Linked DNA regions of Drosophila melanogaster. The protein of the gene in region 1 interacts with the protein of each later gene in a pairwise test. Each region holds a gene or a part of one and is shown in the gene's direction. Other genes may lie near its edges.

Region 1 (5,451 bases):
AGAAGTAAAAAATGAATGTGTCACCAATATTATTAAACACTTAAATCCAATTTGTAATTTTAAGCCAGTACACACGAACGAAATAATAAAATACATAGAACCAAACACAATTGTAACCTGGAACTTAACCCAAACAATTCTTAACCAAAATTGCCAAAATTCAATTAATAAAATAAAAATAGAAGGAAACAAAATGATAAGAGTAACGCAATGCAAAATAGAAATCAATAATATAATTTTAAGTGAAAATCTGTTAGAACCAGAAATAGATTTGACACCACTATACACACCACTTAATATAACAAAAATAAAAATTGTAAAACACAACGACATTGTTGAGATGATTTCAGAGAACAATATTACACTTTACATACAAATGATCATTGTAATAATCGCACTAATTTTGTTGTACTCATATTTAAGATATGTATCATTTAAACCATTTATGATGCTGTATGCAAAACTTAAAATAAGAAAAAATCAAAATCAAAACACACCACAACAAACAGAAATAGAAGAAACTCCATTTCCCACACTATATCCATCAATCCCAGCCCAAGTATAGGCTTCTCTTTAAGGGAAGGGGAGTGACGTATTTGGGTGGTCCAAACCAGCCACTTCCATTATTTCAAAGAAATCAGTAATGCACTCTAGTAATTTTCCATAACGTATCCCAGCTGCGCAGCATTCGTTTATCTTTGGCAGCGCAGCCGTTCTTGTAAACATCCTAAAGCCTGACCTAAGCAGATTTGACTGCCCTCTTTCAACGCTACCTAATCTTAAGAACCCAAGAGCGAGGCTCTCCCGAAATACAAATATTGTTCAAATACTGAGGCTTCTCCTCAATCCAATTTGCATTTGATTTTTAGTCTTAAGCTGAGATCCAAAGAATAAAGTCGTGAAACTATTTCTCCTAAAAACTATTTTTTATTTCTTGGCGTTGTCCTTAGTCAACTGACGGGACATTAGTTCGACTCATAAATAAAACAACAATTTTACTATATATATATAAACTCCACCTGGGATACTGTTCTTTGTAGCTCCTTTCTACATCCAAACGAGCCTCTTTTCCCATATATGTTATATTGCTTGCGAATTGATTTAAATAAAAAGCTGGTTCACAATTTGAGGCGGCTCCTCCAGCGAAACCACAAAAATGTGCTGGGATATAATGCCGGCGAGCAGTGATATAATTTGCATGATTGACATTGTTTAACCTTAATGCACATTTGCCTCCGTCCAGCGCCTTGGATCGGATCGGCCATATAACGGCGCCGACTGGAATTAACTTGAATTTATTGGGCAGCGGCTGGATCGGCAAACCGGTTGAAGGAAGCAGCTGAAGAACGGGCTCCATATCGGGCCATATCGAGTGACTGCCTCTGCCCGCCCGATCCCTTCCTTGGCCACCGCGTAATCGATTTCAGGCGCGACCAGACGGCGACTGTACAAAAATACAAATGAACTCCCGCTGGCCAAATTTGGCAGCCAGGAAGGGGATGATCGAGCCAGCCAAGTGCGACCATTGAGCCCCTTTGACAAATTCAATTAATTGTCCCTCGCATAGAGCGTGTCATTGATGAATCGATAGTCAGGCTTCGGAGCACCAAGGGTCCCAAAGTCCCTTCACTCGATCGGAACAGGCCAATGGCCATAAATTCCCAGCAGCCTGGGCTAAAAATAAAGCCAGACACGACCTTGGAGCATAACGGAAGAAGTCAAGCGAAGGCTGGTCCTGTTTCCATTGGAGGGAGGGTTGGGGTGTGTGTGCGGTCCATGAGAGGGGCTAGAGGCCGCTGGCCAATTAAGTTCGAGATAAAGAATCCCAGCGACCTGGGCCAACAGAATATTTATTGACACATCCTGTAGGGCCGGCCGGCCGTTCGTCCAAGGACATCCACAACCGCTTCCACTTGCGGTTCTTTTCCACTCGCCGGGATGCGGGTATAAAAACCCTCGGACGCGGTGTCCAACAGCATCAGTCTTCCAACAGCAGTAGTCGAAGTTGTAGCGAAGTTTTGGAGCACCCAGAGTTCCAGAAGTCCTACCAGTCGCTACCCAAAGTCAAACCCAACGAGTTGAAAGCAACCCAAGCACAGCAAGATGCGGCTATTTCTGATCGGCTTGCTGGCCCTGGGTTCCGCGAGGGCCTTCTCTGTGATCCGCACCCAGCCGCATCCGCAGCTGGTGGCCTACGCTCCGGCCAGAGGCGAGTTCCCAGTGGTGAGTGGCCTAGCCCAGGGCTACGTCCGCTACTACGATGGCACCGGAGCAGAGCGACTGCTGCCTTACAACTACCCGGAACCGCTGAACGGCATCCGGGATCTGTCCACCTCTAGTCTAGTCCGCTCCGGTGAGGAGCAAGAGAGCCAACAGATCGCTCTGTTCCGTGCCTGGTGCGAGCAGCGCTACCAGGCCATGCGCGTAGAACTGGATCGCCTGAAGGCCCAGGGCCTGAAACCCACACCCAGCATGCTGGCTCAGTTCGAGCCTCTGGAGCAGATCGTCAAGTTTTCCGCCTTCGAAGCCGTTCCCGGACTGACCCCGGAGGTCCAGCGCGCCCGGGATGAGCAGCTACGCATCTGGAACGAGGCCAGGCTGGAGGTGCTGCGCGCCGAACAGGCTCAGCAGCTGCTCGGCCAGTCCCCGGAGTACCAGTACGAGAAGGAAAAGATCCCTGTCATGTACGCCCAGCCTATGCAGCAGCAGATTGTTCCATACCAGGAGAACATATTGATCAAAACCACCACTCAAGATGCGCCTCAACCCATTGAGGAGACACCGGAAGTGAAATTGGCCCGCCAGGAACATCTGAAGCAGTTCAACGAGGCCCTCCTCCGGCAGCCTGCCCAGGAAGCCATCATCCTTAAAGCCGTTCCTGGAATTAAGCAGCCAATCGCGAGCCAGCCTCAGCCGATCATCAAGAGCACCACAACCATCTTTGAGACCCAGCCAGCTGCCCAACCCCAGGGAATATTCCAGAGGGGCAGCTTCACAGATCAGCAGACCCCACAGCCCATCGACGAAACTCCAGAAGTGAAAAAAGCTCGCGAGGAGCACCTCAAGCTGTTCAATGAGGCCTTGCTCCGTCAAACTACTGCCCCCGCAGAACCCACTCTTAAGGCGACGACCACTAAGAACGATCAGCCCCAAGCATTCACCTTCCCAGAAAAAAAAGCTCCTCAACCTATCCAGGAAACTCCAGAGGTCGTGCGCGCTCGGGAGGAGCATCTGAAGCAGTTCAACGAGGCCATCCTGCGGCAGCCAGTCGACATCCAACAACAGCCCCTGATTGCAACCGCACCGTTTGCTCCTCAACCCATTTTTAAGAGCCCCATTGCCGAGGTACCACAGCCCGTCCAGGACACTCCGGAAGTCAAGCTGGCACGTGAGCAGCACCTGCTGCTACTCAACCAAGCGAAAGTACAGGCCGAGGACAAGGTGGCCGACATTGCCGACATGATCCGATTGGAGGAGCGCGAGCAGGAGAAGGAGCGTCTGCAGGAGCTGGAACTGCGCAAGCAGGAGGAGAAGGAAGCCGAAATGGAACGCCAGAAGGAGGCAGATCGTCGGCTCGAGGAAACCCGCATTCTGGAGGCCGAGCGTCTAAAGATCGAGCAAGAAGATCGCCAGCGGTTGGAGAGTGAAAAGCAGGAGCTCCTCCAGTTGAAGGCCACCTCCGCAGCCACCGTACCCGAGAAGGACACTCCTGAATATCTGCGCAAGGCGGAGCAGTTCAAGATCATCAACAACCAGGTGCAGCCCCAGCAGCAGCCCAACATCGTGACCCAGCAGCAGCAAGTGCAAAATGGCTTCTTCCTGCGCATCCAAACCAACCAGCCCAACGCCATCCAGCCATCCACGGTCCCAGTGAGCACTCCTGCCCTAGTTCTAGCCGAGCCGGGCTCCAATCCCTTCCTGGTTCGATACACCACCAAGTCAGCAGCGCGGCCGCTTCCTCTGCAGACGCTTCAGCCCCTGCCCACTCCCATTGCCTCCGAATTGAAGCAGCAGGTCACATACAGCTCCACGTCGTCCAGTGAACTGGACAAAGCCACCCGGGAGCACTTCCGCGCCCACGAGATCGCCCTGGAGCAGCTGCGTCTGGCCAACCTGCGGAATCCCTGGACCCCCGACTGCCAGCACTAGGAAGCTGGAAGGCCCTCCTCCGTCCGAAAACCCCCGTATCCGAGCACGAATTCGAATCACTTGCATTGCCCTAGGTTAGATCACATGCCCACATCTCCTCAAACACAACACGTAAATCCATAACACCCCTCATAGGTACTCATACTCATACTCGTACACCTGTATACATAGCTTGGCTATTCACGCCGTCTCCCGATTCAAAATGCATTCAGTTGAGAAACAACGCAAAATACAGCGCCCATTTGACTGGGGGATCGGATGGTGGTGGGTGGTGGTTGGTTTTTAATGGTTGATGGTGGTTGATGGTGGGTGGTGGTGGATGGTGGGGTAAAAAGGGGCGGAACAAAGGAAATGGCTTTCTCGACTTTACTGTTATAGAACGCTGCCATGCTTGCCATGCTAATTTCGAGTCGCCAGATTGTCGGATCGATCAGAATGCGCATAAAATGCTAAAATGCGCCGCAAACTGGCACAGATGAAGATGTTATCTGATCCGCTCGAATTCGTTTCTGATCGATTCAGATCTTTCAGCACTTGACGCATAAATAACAAGTTGGTGTTATATGGCCTGGTCTTTGTGTATGGTGGGGGGGGGGGGGGGGAGTGTGTGGATACTACGCGAGGATACTCTATGGGGAATCGCCATCGGAATGATCGGATAATACGGGAGTTTCGAGTGCAGTAGCAGCGATAAGTCAGTCGGGCATATTTAGGTAAAGGTAAGCCTAAAATTAGAATTTTCAATGCTGCAAATAGCAAGTGATATTTGCATTTCAGCACCAAGAAAGTGTAGCTATAATTCAAAATAAGGCCGACAGTTTGCCGGCCAATCTGCATAACAAATTTGGTAACTGCAGCCCGCGAATGGTGTCACACTTCTAGCTGTTTATACAAACTCCGCTATTGACCCTGATCAGCGATCCATATGTATGCACCGCCTCTTTAGGCCCGTTACACAAATCTCCATAAATCGAAGCCTTGCAATTCGCGTAGCGGCTTATGAAAATGCTCCTCAATTAAATTCAGAACGCCATCCACTTAGCGTCCTTACTGACCTATCGCAAACCAAAACCAGCCGACCGTTAATCGCCGTTGGAATTGATGAAATTACCGTTCGAAGAATCACACCCCACCCCTTTACGACGGCCCACCTGATTAGATTTCTCTATGCGATTACGTGGCGTATGAGTAATGGAAGCGTGGCGAAAGTGACTAATGTGGAAACGGAAGATGTTCCAACCATGGCCATATATATGGAATCTGATATCTCTGCTCGCTGGTGGCGGATGCGGAGACACTTGA
Region 2 (5,482 bases), on another chromosome or scaffold:
GTAGTGGGAAACTTCTTGGCACTTTCATGAACTTCTGGCCGGTAATTAAAATCCACCCACAAATACCAATCTGTACTGGAACAGATTTCACTAATTACTTTTATGACCCAAATTTGCTGAATGCGCAGTTTGCTATAAATTTCTACCTTTGAGCGGTAATAAACTCTGGGAACATCAGTTGCAGACTAGATATTGCCATTGATATAGATCAATGGCTTATTTTGTCCTGTTGTCCTGTATTCCTGAATGGATCTTGGGGTCTTTGGGCAATCTACATCTATTAAAAAGTGTGGTAACTGTCAATAATCTAAAATGTATGGTATTAAAATATTTCAGTTGTTATAATTGTTGTATAATTGTTTTTAATTCTAAATTCCAATAACTTATTCTAAAATCTTTTATAATGAATTAAGAGGTATCTCTTAGTCCAGAAGACGTATGACGACTTTTTCTAAGAACATTTTCTTTTTATTCGTTTCAGTCACTTCTCTCGCCATTTCCGAACTAATCGAAGACGCTTTCTGGCAGAATTTATTGCTGCTTCGGCGGGGGCGTGGCAGGCGGTGGGCGGTTAAGATGTAGACGAAATGGAGGCGTGGCAGGGGCAAAAACTGCTCCTTTGACCTGTCTGCCTCAGTCACTGTTGTTGCTGTTGCTATTGTTATATATTTCTCCTTCTTTATCGCCCGAAGCTCTGCAAACAAGTTTCTTGTGTCCCGACAAAAAAGGAACCAACATGAAAAAATGGACCAAACAAAATAAGGGAAAATATATTACAGAAAAAAACTCTTTTTCGCCGTCAGCTGCTCGATTGCAGAAAACTCGTTGCGCTTGTTGCGCGTTTTGTTGTGAATTATAAAGAAAATAAAAAAAGGAGCAAATTTCATGAAATCTTGCTTAGGAATGGGTAGGCCTTTGATGTTTTTAGGCCGTCTAATAAGCCGCTGAAATTATTGTTTTAGATTTTTTTCTTCTGATTTGGGAGCGCCCGTCTGCGATTTTGCAAAAAATTTGTGTAAATTTTGAATTTTGCGGGGGCGTGCCGACATTTGGTAATTGCGGTGGGTGCAACAGGCGACAAAAACGCTATAAAATAAGCTATAAACTGGGATTAAGTCGTTGTTTAACAATCATATAAAAATGGTAAAGGTAAAATAATAATAAAGTGTGTGTTAAATAAAAATTACAATATTACAAGCATTTCCTTCAAATTAATTAAATTAAATTTTTTATTGCACTTAAGCAACAATTTTAAAGTACCGAAAAATACCAAGTAAATACCAAATGATGCTCATTTTCATTTCCCCACTGAAAAAGCCACAGCAACAACACTACGTCGCAGCATACGGGACCGGAAGTTAGAGAGCGCTCGAGTGCGAACGGGACAACAGTATGAGTCCCAAAAGTTGTTGCTGTCTCCCCAAATGGCGTTTTTTGAGCGACTTCGCCGCAAACAACAACGCGCTCTCAGTTTATGGGAGAGAGAGTTTGCTTGTTTTTGTTCCTTCGCTGGTGGTGTGGTGGGGGCGAGTGAACCGCTTATGTTGTGGGTGGTTGTTGCCATCGCATCGCAAGAGAGAGAACGATTCCGCTCTCCTTTTGGATTACCCTGTACTTCAGAAATTCCCAGAGTATATTGCGTTTGCAGAGTATTATTTTAAAATATATTTTATATTATATCTATTTTTTAAATAAAATTCCTAAAGTAATTTTTTAAATTATATTTATCATTGGGAAGTTAAGCTTAGTGTATCTAAAACTTATTGTATCTAAAAACCGGGTATCTGCAAGTTGGAAAACTCGACCACTTGTTTTATTTTATTATGCTTGCCGCAAACGACAAACAACCGAGAGAGATAGATCGACAAAGAGAGGAAGAGGTATAAAAAGCGAGAGGCGGTGAGAGAACTTTTCCGCGGGGGCCGCTTGTACTTGTATCTGTATCTTTCGGACTCAGTTTGCCTGCGACCGTTACAACAGCCAGTTGATTCGAAGCGGAGCGATTCGTGGATTCGTTTTCATCGTGTCGTCGTCGTTTTGTCGTTGATTTCCGTTTGTGCATGCAGATAAAGCCAGGTCTTAACTTGATTCTGGACTGGGCCGAAAATCGAAATCGAAACCGAAGTGGGCTAATGGAAAATAAACAAACAAACAAAGCTTGAATTTTGTTTGCCGCGCATTTAAAGTAATTCCTATTTGTCGCCCCTAGAAAATACAATAATAAGAAAATCTGTTTCTGACATGTTGCATGACTGAATTAAATTACGTGTTAAATTGTTAAGCTAAATGAACAAACCGCATCCATAAAACGGATGCCAGTGCATGCAAATTAATTAAAAATACGATTCGAAATCTCTCTACACATGCATGCACAACCCATCAAGCTTTATTCAAATCAATGACTTGAGCGGCTAAATAAAATATGTATTTCATGGCTATTAAGATTATAAACAAAATTTATCATTAAATCTAAAATCAACTTTCATGGTTTATTAACTAATGATATGTTTAACTAATGAATGCCAAAACATAAAGCAATTTAATTCGCTATGACTAAGAGACCGATAATCCATACAAAAGACGAGTTCAAGATATGTGTGTATAAATAATATAAAACAATGAACTCTCAGCTCGAGATAAAAAGCCCAGTAATTTGACTAAATAAAACATGTGTAATTAAATAAGTGCTTTACTAATAAATTGATACAAAATTCAATTCAAATGGATTAAATTTATATCAAATTTCGATTCGAGATTGGTGAACATTTGTGCACTGGAGAAAACCATCAATTTTTAAAACAGAAAAATCCATTATCAAACTACAAGCTGTGGTTAATGTTTACTGTGGTTGTTGTCGGTGACTAGCTCAGTTTTATCAACAACAACAATTTTGCGTTTCAGTTTTGTGTATTTCTCAACGAGTTGTGTACGATAAGAACTGAAAGGAGACCTAAGATTTGAAGAAAATCAGAAATGGCTCTAGGGAACTAACGATAATGAAATATTTTACTACAATTTAACAAATTGTCGTTATTTAAAAGAAATAAACACGCATAAGCCCGTGTACAGTTCAAAATCCCATGGAATATGTGACAATTAAATTAATTAAGCTTAAACAACAGATACGATAACTGAACACTTTCCAACCGAAATAAATTTGATTTGTAAATTTCACATAAATCAAAGCGAAATAGCTGGCAATCCTTCCCTTCAACTGAATTAAACAATTACTCTTTGTTTCTCAGTTTTAAGCATTCAAAATCAACAAAATGCGTCAGCTGCGAGCTGAGCTTTAAAAGAAATACGAGCTGAGCAAACAATATAAGATAAACACAGAAAGTCAAGTACAGTCAGTGCTCCAATTTTGTAACCCACAAATATATTTTAGGATTTTCCCAATAAAGTAAAGTGCAAATTGTTTAAAACGACAGCTCAAAAATAAGTCATGGTTTTTTTTTCGAAATATAAATAAAATAGTTTCTGTTCTTTACACTTTAATGACAGTAAGTTAGAGCCTATAAATAACAATTACTTGGAAATACTGAATTTAGTTGCATACATGCTACAAAGTAAGCTCTTAATTGTTTTTTTTTTATCATATTTTTCGACGTTTATAAGAATACGTATTTTATGAAAATCTGCAAAGTTGCTTAAAAAACCTTCAACATTTCCATGTTTGAAGGATAGATAATGGAGTTATCGTTGAGGGTGTTCCACTATTCCAGAGCTCACTTTAAATTGGGGGGAGAACAAAGCGGGCTATAAAGACGCTCGTTCGGCGACTCAGTGTGCTGGCTATATGCGACTATATGGCTATATTGTAGGCCTATTGTCTGGGGAAACTGCATGGAACTGCATATCGGAAATGATTATGGGGGGAGTACCAGCTTGATGACGGTAGAGGCGCGATAAAAGACACACAAAAGGGGGGAGAAAAAAAAAGGTTGGTACGTCATTAACTGACTCAGCCGCATGTTGCATCCAAGCTTTTTTTGTTGCTCCTTTTTCTGCTCAGTATTCACGTCCTGCAGAGAGAGTCCCAAAATCCAGAGAGAGAGCGTGGAGAGCGAGCGGAGAGGGAGAGCGGCAGAGCTTCAGCGCAGCACGGCGAAATTCGCTGAGCTCGCCTTAAACAGTTCGCAGCCGCTCCTTCACCGTTAGTTAAAAAAAATTCCTTGCCCGAAGCGGAAGGATTGTCGAATTTCGTGGATTTTTGCGAATATTTCCCGTGTAATTTTCGTCACGCGTCGTTTATTTGCACCAGCGAGTGTGTGTGAGTGTGTGTATAACGTACTGGTGTGTGTGCGTGTAAGTGACTCAACTCGAAGACATTTTTGTTTCTTTTGTCGAGGGACGCTTCTTTGGTTTTTTATTTCTCTTTCACATATTCGCATATTCTTTTGCGGCGAATTCAATGACGTCGCAGAAATTTGTTTTTATGCCATGAATTTATGTTTCTGTATGCGTGTGCATGTGTTTTTGTTCAAGCAAATCGATTAAATTTATGAAAAATTAATACGAAAACCGGCAGCGAACTATACAAAAACTATGCAAGCGATCCAAGACTCAAATGTTTTTAATTAAAAGCCGTGTGTGAAATATTATCAAACCGCAACGGCAAAAACAACAATATTTTATCACCATTTTGAGAGCGGCACGCACGTGTGTGAGTTCTTGAGTGTTAGTGTGTGTGTGTGTGCAGTGGCGTGTGTGTATGTGTCGAAAAAGCCGGCAATGGCAAAAGAGAATTCAGAATTCAGCATTGAAAGGCGAGAAGCAAAAGGCAAAAGCGAATGCCAAACAGCGAAAGTAAAAGCGTAAAGCCAAAACAAAGAAATGCCAAAGAAAACCCAGAAAGCCAAAAAAAATTGTTAAAATTAATAAACAATAATGCAAATCAATGTTATGGGAAATGGAAAAGCGCTTCAGATACAAATATCAATGAAAACACAAATATTGACAAATACATTTAATGTAAACATTAAAAAGTTGCATGACTATATACTTTTACTAATAAAATAACATAATGCATTCTTAGAAAAAATCCATAAAACATGTTATAACAATAGTTTAATAATACTTAATTTTTTTTCTAGAAAATCTGAAACCTTGCCATCTAATATTGGTGGTATTAAAATGAGTATTACCTAAGAAAAACAAAAATAATTCAGTGCGGTTATAAAATACATAATATTTAACAAAATAGTTGCAAAAAGTCAACAGAAAAGTGCAAAAAGAAAAAAATCTCAAGAAAAACAAAGTATTTGGTGCGACCTAAAGTGATTTTCTCAGCGTGTGTCTTTGGGATAAGCGAAAAACCAGCAAAATTTACTGCTTTGGAAACTCCGCTCTCAACATAAGCACCAACAACAACACCATCAACCCCCCCGGCGGCAGCAGCACCCACCTCCAGATTCAGCACCACCAGGCTCAGCACCACCCCCAAAACAGTGCGAGAATGCTGTTCGAGAATCCGGCGGTT
Region 3 (4,158 bases), on another chromosome or scaffold:
GCAATATCCTTCAGATTGTCATACTTATACTATGGTCAATTTAGATAGTTTATAACAAGAGTAGTACATATATTTTATATAAACGTTTCAGTTTTTATTTTCGATAGGGGCCTTGAAAACGTTTTAAGTACACGTTAACAGGGCATTTCTTTCTATTTCTCCAAGTGCCTGTTTCGACATTATTGGATTGGGGGAATAGCGACAGCCAAAACACACAATCCGAGTGCCAGTGGAAGCGTAATCGATGCGGCTCACATTAGATGGTCGTCCCGGAGAGGGCCAAGCCCGGTTGAAGTGAGCCGGACGGAGTCCTTGGCCAGCCAACAGCATTTCAAGGGCTCCCCAACAGAACCAACTGGCTGACCTCTCCGAGAACTGCTCCCTTCGCTGCCGCTGCTGCTTTTTATCCCAAGCTGCTGCTTCGTTTATCATTTGTTGTTCACTTGTCGAAATTTTATTGCTGCAATCTTGTTTGTCGTCGTCGTCGTCGTCTCGTCCTTTTCCTTTTCCTCGTCAAAGGAGCGCGCACGCTGGGGGACATTTCAAATGCCTTCCTAAGGACTTTTACACACGTAGTATATAATTGGGGTCGGAATTTTAGCAACAAGACCTCTTTTTCATTCTCATAGTTCTTTGAACTATTAAAAAGGGATCGAAGCCCATTTATGCGATCTAAGTATAATTATTTTAGCAACAAAAGTTTTTGGAACTTTTTTTGAAGATTTTATTAATTTTAAAATGCATAGGTAAAAATATAAAAATATTTAACGTGAAAACGTGAATCAAAATATTAGTTAATATGTATATTTTTTCTAAGCTTTCTTGCTTGCTATTATTTTTATCCCAACTGTGTTCAAATCCACTTGAACCAGAGGCGTAGCCATATCCTGATGAATATTCGGATCCTTTTCTTACTTACCCCCCATCTACGCAACTGGTTGGGTAAGCCGAGTGCTCCTTTTATCCGAGAGGACATTGGACATTGTTGTTCAGGCTGTCGTCGTCGCAGCCGGAAATGCGTCTAATAAGCGTGTGTGTCGGGTGAGCGCATTACGTATACGTAATATACATTTATATCTAAGTGTACTACATACGTCTCTGCCAGCAATTTAAAGTGCGACCCTTTTTTATTTTTGGGCTGCTTTTAAACTGCTGCTCCACAAACAATGAGAGCAAATATTTCAGGAAATTAGTTTCCTTTGTTCCTCCAGAGAGTCTGAGACAAAAGAAGCGAAATTTTCCGCAATCAGCGAAAGAAGCAACCATAAAAACGCTCAGCAGTGCAGGGCAAACAAAACGAACGGCAGAGGAAAATCAATAAAACGCAGTTAATATAAGGATTAAATAGATGAAAAATTCTTCAGGCCAAGTTTTCGCTGCTCCTTTAGGATTAAATCTATTTTATGCTTGGCATTTATGGCCCAGACACGCACAGTGGCCCACAAAAGTCACTGCCCGACAGCAACTACACACTACATGTGTCAGCATGAAAGGCAATGAATTGTTTTTATGTGCTAATGTCCTGCAGGATTGTGTTCTGGAGACTGGCCCCAAAATCCAGTATGCTTTTGCATGCCCGACACGTAAGGCGATTTGATTTCAATTTCCCAGATTCAACTTGCCACTGTCGCCTTTGACCGCCCGCCCACTCGAATGAGTTGGCAAGTTTGGCACACCGCTGCGTATGCTTAATACGATTTGGGCCCAGCCATCAGATAATCACTGGGTATTTCAGCCACTCCACTGCGGTGAGTGTCGCCGTAAACAATTTCTGATCGATGGCTCCCGAAAATAATCAAATAATTCGATTAAACCGATTTCGCTTAGCCGGTTTTCCCAGCTATAAATATGCATGTATATGCCTTAAAACAGAGCAAAAGTCAGCCAAAGTCGTCCGTTTGGCAAAATATCACTACCGTCATTTAGAGAAATCTATGCTTATCACTTACCACTTATCATTCGAGTGGACAACGTTTGCCGCCAGTTCGCTTGTGAAGTGCGTTTAATTGAAAGCCTGCGGTTTGTAATCTCACCGGTTTCTCACAAGTCCGATAACAGCAGATACTTTTTTTTTTGGCTTGGGTCAATCAAAGCCGATAAGTGGGACTGCTTCCTTTTTGGCCGACATCAATAAAAGAAAGAAAAAAATCGAAAATCGGAGCAAAACCCACGACTGATAAGCAATTTCACGCGAATAAACAGAAGTGACTTGGTCAAAATACAAGAGGCACGGCCAATGATAAGCCGCCCAATTAGTTGGTATAAAAGTGCTGGTGTGGCCGGTAAAGAATCATTCGTTCTCCGACCATCATGAAAGTGCTCGTAGTCTTCGCCCTGGCTCTGGCCACCGCCTCCGCCGGTCTGCTGCCCCAGCAGGTGCCGATCCACCCCCGTGACCTGCCCGCCGTGACCAATATCGAGGGTCGCATCACCAACGGCAAGACCGCCACTTCTGGCCAGTTCCCCTACCAGGTGGGACTCAGCTTCGCCAGCACCAGCGGCAGCTGGTGGTGCGGTGGTTCCATCATCGACAACACCTGGGTTCTCACTGCTGCTCACTGCACTTCTGGGTGAGTTAACTTATTTATTTATCTACAAAATGAGTTAAATTTTAATGTATATCTCTCAGTGCCTCCGCTGTGACCATTTACTACGGAGCCACCGTGCGTACTAGTGCCCAGCTGGTCCAGACCGTTTCCGCCGATAACTTCGTTCAGCACGCCAGCTACAACTCGATTGTGTTGAGGAACGACATTTCCCTGATCAAGACCCCAACGGTTGCCTTCACCGCCCTTATTAACAAGGTTGAGCTGCCCGCCATCGCCGGTACCTACTCCACTTACACTGGACAGCAGGCTATTGCCTCCGGATGGGGCAAGACCTCCGATTCCGCCACCAGCGTCGCTAACACTCTGCAGTACGAAGTCTTCGAGGTTGTGTCCGTCTCTCAATGCCAGAACACTTATGGCTCTCTGGTAGCCACCAACAACGTGATCTGCGTTGCTACCCCCAACAAAGTGTCCACCTGCAACGGCGACTCCGGCGGCCCACTGGTCCTGGTCAGCGACAGTAAGCTCATCGGTGTCACCTCCTTCGTGTCGAGCGCTGGTTGTGAGTCCGGTGCCCCTGCTGGCTTCACCCGTGTGACCAGCTACTTGGACTGGATCAAGACAAACACCGGCGTCTCCTACTAAGCACAGCATAAATAAAAACGATTAATGACTAAAACCAAAACTTTTAATTCTGGGAAAACTATTGCAGATTTAAAAGTTAATTTAGCAGAATTACCGATTCCATATTTATGCTTAATACGAAAACTACCAACCTTTGTCCGAATTTATTAAGTAATTAAACTACAGCAATATTTAAATCATCTCGTATGCATGATCGGTATTACCACTGCATCTGGTTGATTATATATACATTATATATATATATATATATATATACATCCGATCATGCTTGCAGACTATTTTGTAGTATACTTTCTAGCTTTAAAAATAATTTAATTCGTAGTTTTCCCTAATTTGGTGATTTCGTAATCATTCTATCATAAATAACAATATATCAGCCTTCTAGACTGCAGTGGCAGAAACAGAAAAAAATATGCAATATTCTAAGAGCGTTCATTGTTTTTGTAGCTCCTTTATTGAAATTCTATATACAAGGTTACTTGAGGTTGGATGGCAATTATTCCTGGAACCCGAAGTAATCGAATTTCATATTCGCAGATCGTAAAGATCTATCGCAGATATAAGCAGATTGTAAATCTTCAAACCAACTGATTACGAATATTTAGAGCCGATAGATACCACTCATTCGGCAGACTATATAAAGAAGTGCCGCAAGTGCCATTGTTTTCAGTGTAAAAATCATTCAAGCGATGAAAGTGCTTGGAGTTTTGCTGTTTTCGGCTTTCGCCTTGGTGGCGGCCCTTGAAAGGCCTGTTCCCGTGAAGGATATGCCCGCTGGCAATAAGATTAACGGACGTATTACCAATGGGTATCCTGCTTACGAGGGAAAAGTGCCCTACATTGTAGCTCTGCGCTTCGATAATGGAAACGGCGGTGGCTGGTACTGCGGAGGCTCCATCATTGGCCACGAATGGGTACTCACTGCGGCTCACTGCACCTATGGAGCCAGTTACGTGACCATCAG
Region 4 (6,365 bases), 1.8 Mb from region 1:
GCATCGATGCCAGTGAGTAGTTGGACATTCAAATACGAAACAAGATATAACTATGACAATTACATCTCCACAGACCTGGTTATAGATGGCAGCATTTCGTTCCCCTTCAACGATGGCGCCAAGGCTTTGCTAGAGGTTCACCCAGAAGATGCCCTTCTGACAATCGCTTTAGACTGAATCCAGTGATGCGCCCCTAGTGCCTGGTCATCTCGCTCTAGCATGTCTGAATTTTTGAAATTATTTAAGTAAGCATTTTGCAACTACTTAGCAGTGTAAGCTCAAAAGTTATTTTGTTATTTTATAAAAGTATATTTAAACATCACGCTTTATCTTTCTTGACATCTGCTCTGCCCTTTTGGGCAACTGGTTTTTCTTTGTTAAGCCTTTTCAGTGGCTTGGTTGGGGTATCTTCTTGGGTGGCTCTACTTCGTCCTTTTCCCTTCTTCTCAAACCTCGCACTGTCTACAGATTTAAAACGCTCGTCCTGTAGGAGAGCTTTGCCCTCTTCGCTGGCTGCCGGCTCTGCGTGCTGCAGTTTTCTCTTTCGGCGTATTTCCCTTAGTTTATCCTTCTGTTTTTTACGATACCTGTGGATGGGATACAAAAATTGTTATAAAATACAACGAATATGCGTATTTTCCACTGCTTACAAAGCTTCCATTTGGTCGGGGTCCTTCCCCTCCATAATCCACGTCTTTCGCCTATAGTTTTGCGCTCGCTCGTCGAAATCGTTATTATCTAATTGCATCTCTGATTCACGGCGCGTGACATTTACTTGCATAAAGATTCTCTCCACCATGCGCTCTAATTTATATAATATATATATTAAAGATAGTTATTTTGTGTGCCACTAATTCCAACAAAACTTACGATCGATGGGATGCTCTGTAAGTTTGGTGTTGATCTCCTCCTCAATGGCGGCCAAAAGCTCTAGATCGCGTGGAAAGCGGAATATGGAGATGGACATGCCCTTGCGCCCCGCTCTTGCTGTTCTGCCTACGCGATGGATGTACTCCTTTGGTGTCCGGGGAAGCATGTGATTCATAACCAGCTCGACGCTGGGTATATCCAGACCTCTGGCGGCCACATCCGTAGCGATCAGTGTACGTATTTGGTTGGACTTGAAGCGACTTAGAGCAGCTACGCGCTCCTTTTGCCGCATGAAACCATGCAAGCAAACATTATCGATTTCCATGTTCTTCAGTGTCATCGAGAGAAGCTGACAGTACCTAAAATGATTCGTTATTAAATCCTTAGAATTTACTTCCTATTATTGTGCAACTAACTTTTTTGTGTTGGTGAAGATCATGACATTAGCGTTTTCGTTCTCCTCGCGATACTTTCTTAGTGCCTCTATTAAGACCATGTCGCGATCGTAGTCGGCGCACAGCAGATAACGCTGGTCCAGAGTCTCTACAGTGGCCACGTCTGAGTCCTGCGACCATTCAAAACACTACATTCGGATTAAGATATCTATTAGTACCATTCAACAGGGTATTCATAAAACTTACATCGCTGGCAATGGGAAATATGCTGGACTCCTTTATGAAGTCCTTCATGGTTGCGGAAAAGAAAAGGTTTTGCCTTGTCTTTGGCAAACAGCGCTCAATGATGGATAGGCTCTCGTCAAAGTCTCCGTTCAGCATGCGATCCGCTTCGTCAACAACCAAATACTTCAGATTGTCGAAGGAGAAGGTGTCGCAGCCGGTTAGGTGATCCGCGAGACGGCCGGGCATGGCCACCACGATGTGCGGTCGCTGCATAAGCTTCTGGCTCTCGACCATTTGGTCTGTGCCGCCAGAGACAACACATACGCGCACCCCCATCGCCTGTCCAGCCACAAGAAACTGCTCGGAGATTTGATAGGCCAACTCGTGCGTGGGCGTCAGCACCAGGGCGAAGTGGCTCACTGGCTCTTCGCTCAGCCGCTCCAGAATGGGCAGGGCAAAGGCGAAGGTCTTGCCCGAGCCCGTCTTGGCAGCTCCAATGCAATCCTGGCCCGCCAATATCGCTGGGATGCATTTCTGTTGGATTGGAGTTGCTCCCTTCAGGCCTGAAAGCGCAATGGTTTAATTACTTGGGTAAACCCGTGGACGGCTTGACATTACCCAACTTGGTCAGCTGCTTAACCAACCATGGACGTAGGCCCAGGATCTGAAAGGGATTGGCCTCCTTTCGTTGCATTTCGGTAAATAAAAATACAACGAAATAAAAAAGGAAAACAACGTGCGCTGTATTAGTGATGGAAGTATTGTCTTCTGTATCGGTATATAACTATCGATACGTTTTTAATTTTTGCTCCGTGTGAGTGGTTAGCTGTATTTAGTACGCATTTTTAATTTAAATTCAATTAAATTTTTTATTTACTTCAACCGCAGAATTATTGGCGAGTAATAAGAAAAAATTCACTATAAAATTAATAATACATTTTATAATTAATCGACAATAGTCACGCTCTAGACAGGTAAGATTCCGCATCTATGGGCGCGATCATTTTGTAAACACACTGAATATTTCGATTTAGACTCAATGCAAAGATGTCCGAAAACCATGATAGCCTGGGTGCATCTGTAGCCTACAGTGAGCTGGTGGCTATAGACCAGAAGGACATCATCCTGATGATAGACTTTGATTCGGCGGTTTCCATTTGCTCAGCATGTATCGCAAATAAATCCGCGAATCCTGTGGATGTCTTGACATTGTGGTTCACCAAACTATTAGGAGCATACATCGACGATTCCGGGTATTGTGTACTAGCAGCTCGGGAAATGTGCAAGTGGTTCACGATCGTAGGTAATTCTTACACAATGCGCTTCAGTCTATTAACTTTAAATTCGTCCTCAGGAAGCAGAAACTGGCAATGAAGTCCACAGCGGTCATATAAAACTCATGTCTGTGGCACAAGAATTTGTATCCACATTCAGGGATCGATTGCTGGAAGCAGGCGAACGTTTGGTTCAAATCCTTGCCTATCTTGTCTTTACAATTATCGACTTCTGTTTAATGTGGTAAGAGGGGCTTGGATAAAACCTATATGTAAAATATTTCTATATATTTTTGCTTACATCATTCAGCGATAAGAGTCATCGCCAGATTGTTGCGGATCTTCAACTCGAAACGCTTTCTTTAATAAAGGATTCTATCATTAATTTGACAGAAGTCCACCCTCGCCTTGCGACCTGTAAGTTAGGAATACTAACGAATTGATACACCCAAAAATTTGAGTATTATCTGAAAGTTGTTGTAGACTAATTATAGACTTTATATTAAACAATTGTCAGTGATGCAAAAGATAATGGAAATCGCAGATACCGAAGGAACACGCACTGGTGATCTGCAGTTATCTGTACAGACAGGCGAGACGTTGGCTCATATTTGCTTGCACTTCATGACAACCTGGCATGCTAATCCTACAGACGAAAAACTGCCCAATTGGCTTAGGGAAACTGTTTTTCATCTATGTGATGTGGTTACCGTTCACTTGAATAGTACTTTTGACATCGTTCGTATAACAAAGCTTACGATTTGTAAAAGAGTTTATTTAACAAGACATTTTTTTTAGGACAATCGTATTGTTCCTGCGGAAAAGTTAGAGGAGCTTGTAGATGGTATCAGGACCTACATTGTATTGTTATATCATATTCTTCAAAAAGGTGTGGTGTATGTTGATGATGATGTAGCTGTTTGTCTGATGGACTTAATAATGTGTGAACGAACGTAAGTTTGAAAAATGAAATGGTTATTTGCAATAATTGTATTTTCTTTTAGGAGGCCATCACATTACTCTGACATCGAGAAGCAACAGCTAATTTCTGTGTTAGTACGACCACATGTACTAGATATTTTAGAGCTGCTTTACAAGTTCCAAAAATGTCAAGAAGTAAGATGAAATTCAGAAATCGCTTGCAAATAAATGTCTTCGGATAGACTTTGATTGAAAACTATTCATTCATACAATACATCATCAGATTTTGTTAATGTTACTAAAATTTGTCCTTTTAGTATTTAATATCCAGTGTCCTTGGTACACCAAAATTTGACTACTTCGACGCTTGCATGGATTTTATTAATGCTGTGTCTACAGACGATGCGGATGTGCTCCCATCTACTTGCCGAACATTACAACAAACTTTTGAATATTTGTTTAAAGGTAAGGTGTCGATTCGATCATATTTATTTCTTACTACTTACTGAGCCCACAGATGCTAAAAATTTTGTTCACGGCGAACGCTATAATCAAGTATTGGATGCGTTTGGTTGTCTTTTGTATTTAGTGGGTAACATAGAACTACATAGGTATTTCTGTGCCGGCATATTTCAAAAGGATTTTATTACATCGCAAGTGTGTGCGGATATTCTCATGCTGTGCTTTCGGTTAGTAATTATAAATCATACATTTTAAAATTTATTTCACTATTCTATGTTTTTAGGCTAAAAGAGGCCAACAAATGCTGGACAGATCATGCCATAAAAGAGGCTATGGCTCACTGGCATAAGTGCAATAATTCTTACGCCATGTTTTCCACAAATCCAAGCCAATTGCATGTACAACGATTCCTTAGGTACTTCCACTGCTTGGGAAAGCAGGAACTTCCTGTCATAAGCATTCAAAACTTCCGGCACCTGTCTGTCGTCGCAAAATCAGATGGCCACGTGGGAATGAAGATATTGAAGCGCTTAGAACTCATCTCCACCTCAGCGCCCACAAAAGTTGAGTTGTACTATGAAGTGGTAAGCAAGTAGAAGTACACTTATAAAATGGATATACATACCTTGATTTTTTATACCCAAAGGTTGCTCTACTGGAACTTTTGGTGCACCACGATCAAATCGACTGTTCCCATTGGTTTCAGCGGACATCGGAAATGGCCAATAAACTTTTAGGCATTGACAAGAGCATTAGCTTTGCTAATGTTTACTTCAAACTACTAGCGCGTGCGAATGGATCCACCAAATTACTTATACTTAGGGGACTGCCTCCAAATGCTGGATGCACAAACTGGTATCGCGAGAAATTCCTCGACTCCTGCAAAGTCAGCGATGACGCCCAACTAAGAGCATTTAGTGCCCGCCATGCAATATACCCATTGTTTAAGGCATTGCATGTCGAACCCGGAACTGTTGTCGACGGTTCATTTGATCTCAGTAAATCAAGCTACATTCGCCATGGAGATCATAAATGTCCGGTCTCTAGTCTAAAACGTCGACGGAGTGAATTGGCGCCTAAAGAAATCCTTCGTAATATATATGAGGCTTCTCTTCAACTGACCCAGTGCACCGCGAATTTCGATGCTGCCGACTGGGAATTGCTCAAGAAGGTAATGGCCAATTTGAGTGGAATTGTACCCTAGCTCCCTGCTCTATGCTTTTCGTATCGCTCACTTACCTAAATCAATTAATTACCACCTGTGTACTCATTTTGAATAAGAATCCCTAATTAAGATGTTGTGCGATAAGGCGGTTAAAAATAACGTGTAAATAAAGACAGTTTACCTGCAAGCGAAGCGGATGTAAAGCTAACGAAACTGCCTGCGAAATAGGATCGAAAGGCTACCCTGGTGATGTCTGATCGTCGGGATGGTGCCATTGCACTCAGCGAAGCGATGACAATGCCCAGGGATCCGGGATTGGCAAACCCACAAAGGGCAAAAGTGGCTATGGCAGCGCTCCGCGGCTATAAGAATACTAGTTTTAAAATAATCTATAAGAATAGAATATGCAGATGGGTACTCACATCAACCTTTTTATCGCTAACCAATATGCCCAGGTTTCTATAAGCCACAAACTCGTTTATGAACGACTTTTGGGCCACCACCAGGCCAATTGCTTGACAATCGTGCCACGGCACGCCCATCACGAAGACAATCGGGATAAAGATCTGGGAGAGAATGTAGAGTAGGGTGATGTTATGCAGTCCAATTAGCTCGAAAATCCACTCCGTTACAGCGTCTAGGAAGAACACAATGGCTAGGAAGGCGATGATATTCGAGACGATTCCGAGCACAATCAACAAGGCTGCTGCAGCTCCCGAGGCGGCCGCATCCAAAATAGACGTATCCGTCCTTGGCAAGGTGTCTGGGCGATTATCAAATGTTGACTCTTATGAAGAGGAACTTACGAGCTTTCCAGCTTAATGTTGTCGGACCTGGTCAGAGATTCCTCGGTCTCGGGGTAGAACAGTTTGGCGAAAGCCAGTGAACCCGGAGCAGCCATTACGCTGGCTGCGATAAGAAAGCTGGCGGAAGCACCGAAGGACACATAAGCCCCCAAGACAGTACCGGCCACTGTCGCGTAGCCGGAGGTGCATATAGCGTGCAACTCGCTGACGGTCAGTATTTCGATGTACGGCCGGATGACCAGAGGGC

The links.
Region 2: the proteins of CG1850 (region 1) and msi interact in a two-hybrid assay, tested with the Drosophila melanogaster proteins (one large-scale study listed by BioGRID).
Region 3: the proteins of CG1850 (region 1) and Jon65Aiii interact in a two-hybrid assay, tested with the Drosophila melanogaster proteins (one large-scale study listed by BioGRID).
Region 4: the proteins of CG1850 (region 1) and CG13742 interact in a two-hybrid assay, tested with the Drosophila melanogaster proteins (one large-scale study listed by BioGRID).

Annotation. Positions count from the first base shown.
Region 1 is NT_033778.4:7,257,791-7,263,241, reverse strand, and holds CG1850 (uncharacterized protein), read left to right. Parts: upstream 1-1,972; 5' UTR 1,973-2,103; coding exon 2,104-4,149; 3' UTR 4,150-4,375; downstream 4,376-5,451.
Region 2 is NT_033777.3:25,514,165-25,519,646, forward strand, and holds the start of msi (musashi), read left to right. Parts: upstream 1-1,953; 5' UTR 1,954-2,185; intron 2,186-4,158; exon of another isoform or gene 4,159-4,308; intron 4,309-5,096; 5' UTR 5,097-5,458; coding exon 5,459-5,482.
Region 3 is NT_037436.4:6,048,467-6,052,624, forward strand, and holds Jon65Aiii (jonah 65Aiii), read left to right. Parts: upstream 1-2,290; 5' UTR 2,291-2,310; coding exon 2,311-2,570; intron 2,571-2,629; coding exon 2,630-3,194; 3' UTR 3,195-3,224; downstream 3,225-4,158. Other genes in the region: Jon65Aii (jonah 65Aii), read left to right, coding at 3,884-4,158.
Region 4 is NT_033778.4:9,083,730-9,090,094, reverse strand, and holds CG13742 (uncharacterized protein), read left to right. Parts: upstream 1-2,462; 5' UTR 2,463-2,464; intron 2,465-2,524; 5' UTR 2,525-2,537; coding exon 2,538-2,789; intron 2,790-2,844; coding exon 2,845-3,008; intron 3,009-3,074; coding exon 3,075-3,181; intron 3,182-3,281; coding exon 3,282-3,502; intron 3,503-3,562; coding exon 3,563-3,717; intron 3,718-3,768; coding exon 3,769-3,880; intron 3,881-4,002; coding exon 4,003-4,150; intron 4,151-4,202; coding exon 4,203-4,374; intron 4,375-4,377; exon of another isoform or gene 4,378-4,430; coding exon 4,431-4,731; intron 4,732-4,772; exon of another isoform or gene 4,773-4,793; coding exon 4,794-5,351; 3' UTR 5,352-5,395; coding exon of another isoform or gene 5,396-5,433; 3' UTR 5,434-5,493; downstream 5,494-6,365. Other genes in the region: Nadk2 (NAD kinase 2, mitochondrial), read left to right, coding at 1-12, 74-177; Dbp45A (DEAD box protein 45A), read right to left, coding at 320-587, 651-804, 871-1,229, 1,287-1,453, 1,512-2,053, 2,109-2,184; CNT1 (concentrative nucleoside transporter 1), read right to left, coding at 5,396-5,433, 5,494-5,674, 5,735-6,062, 6,119-6,365.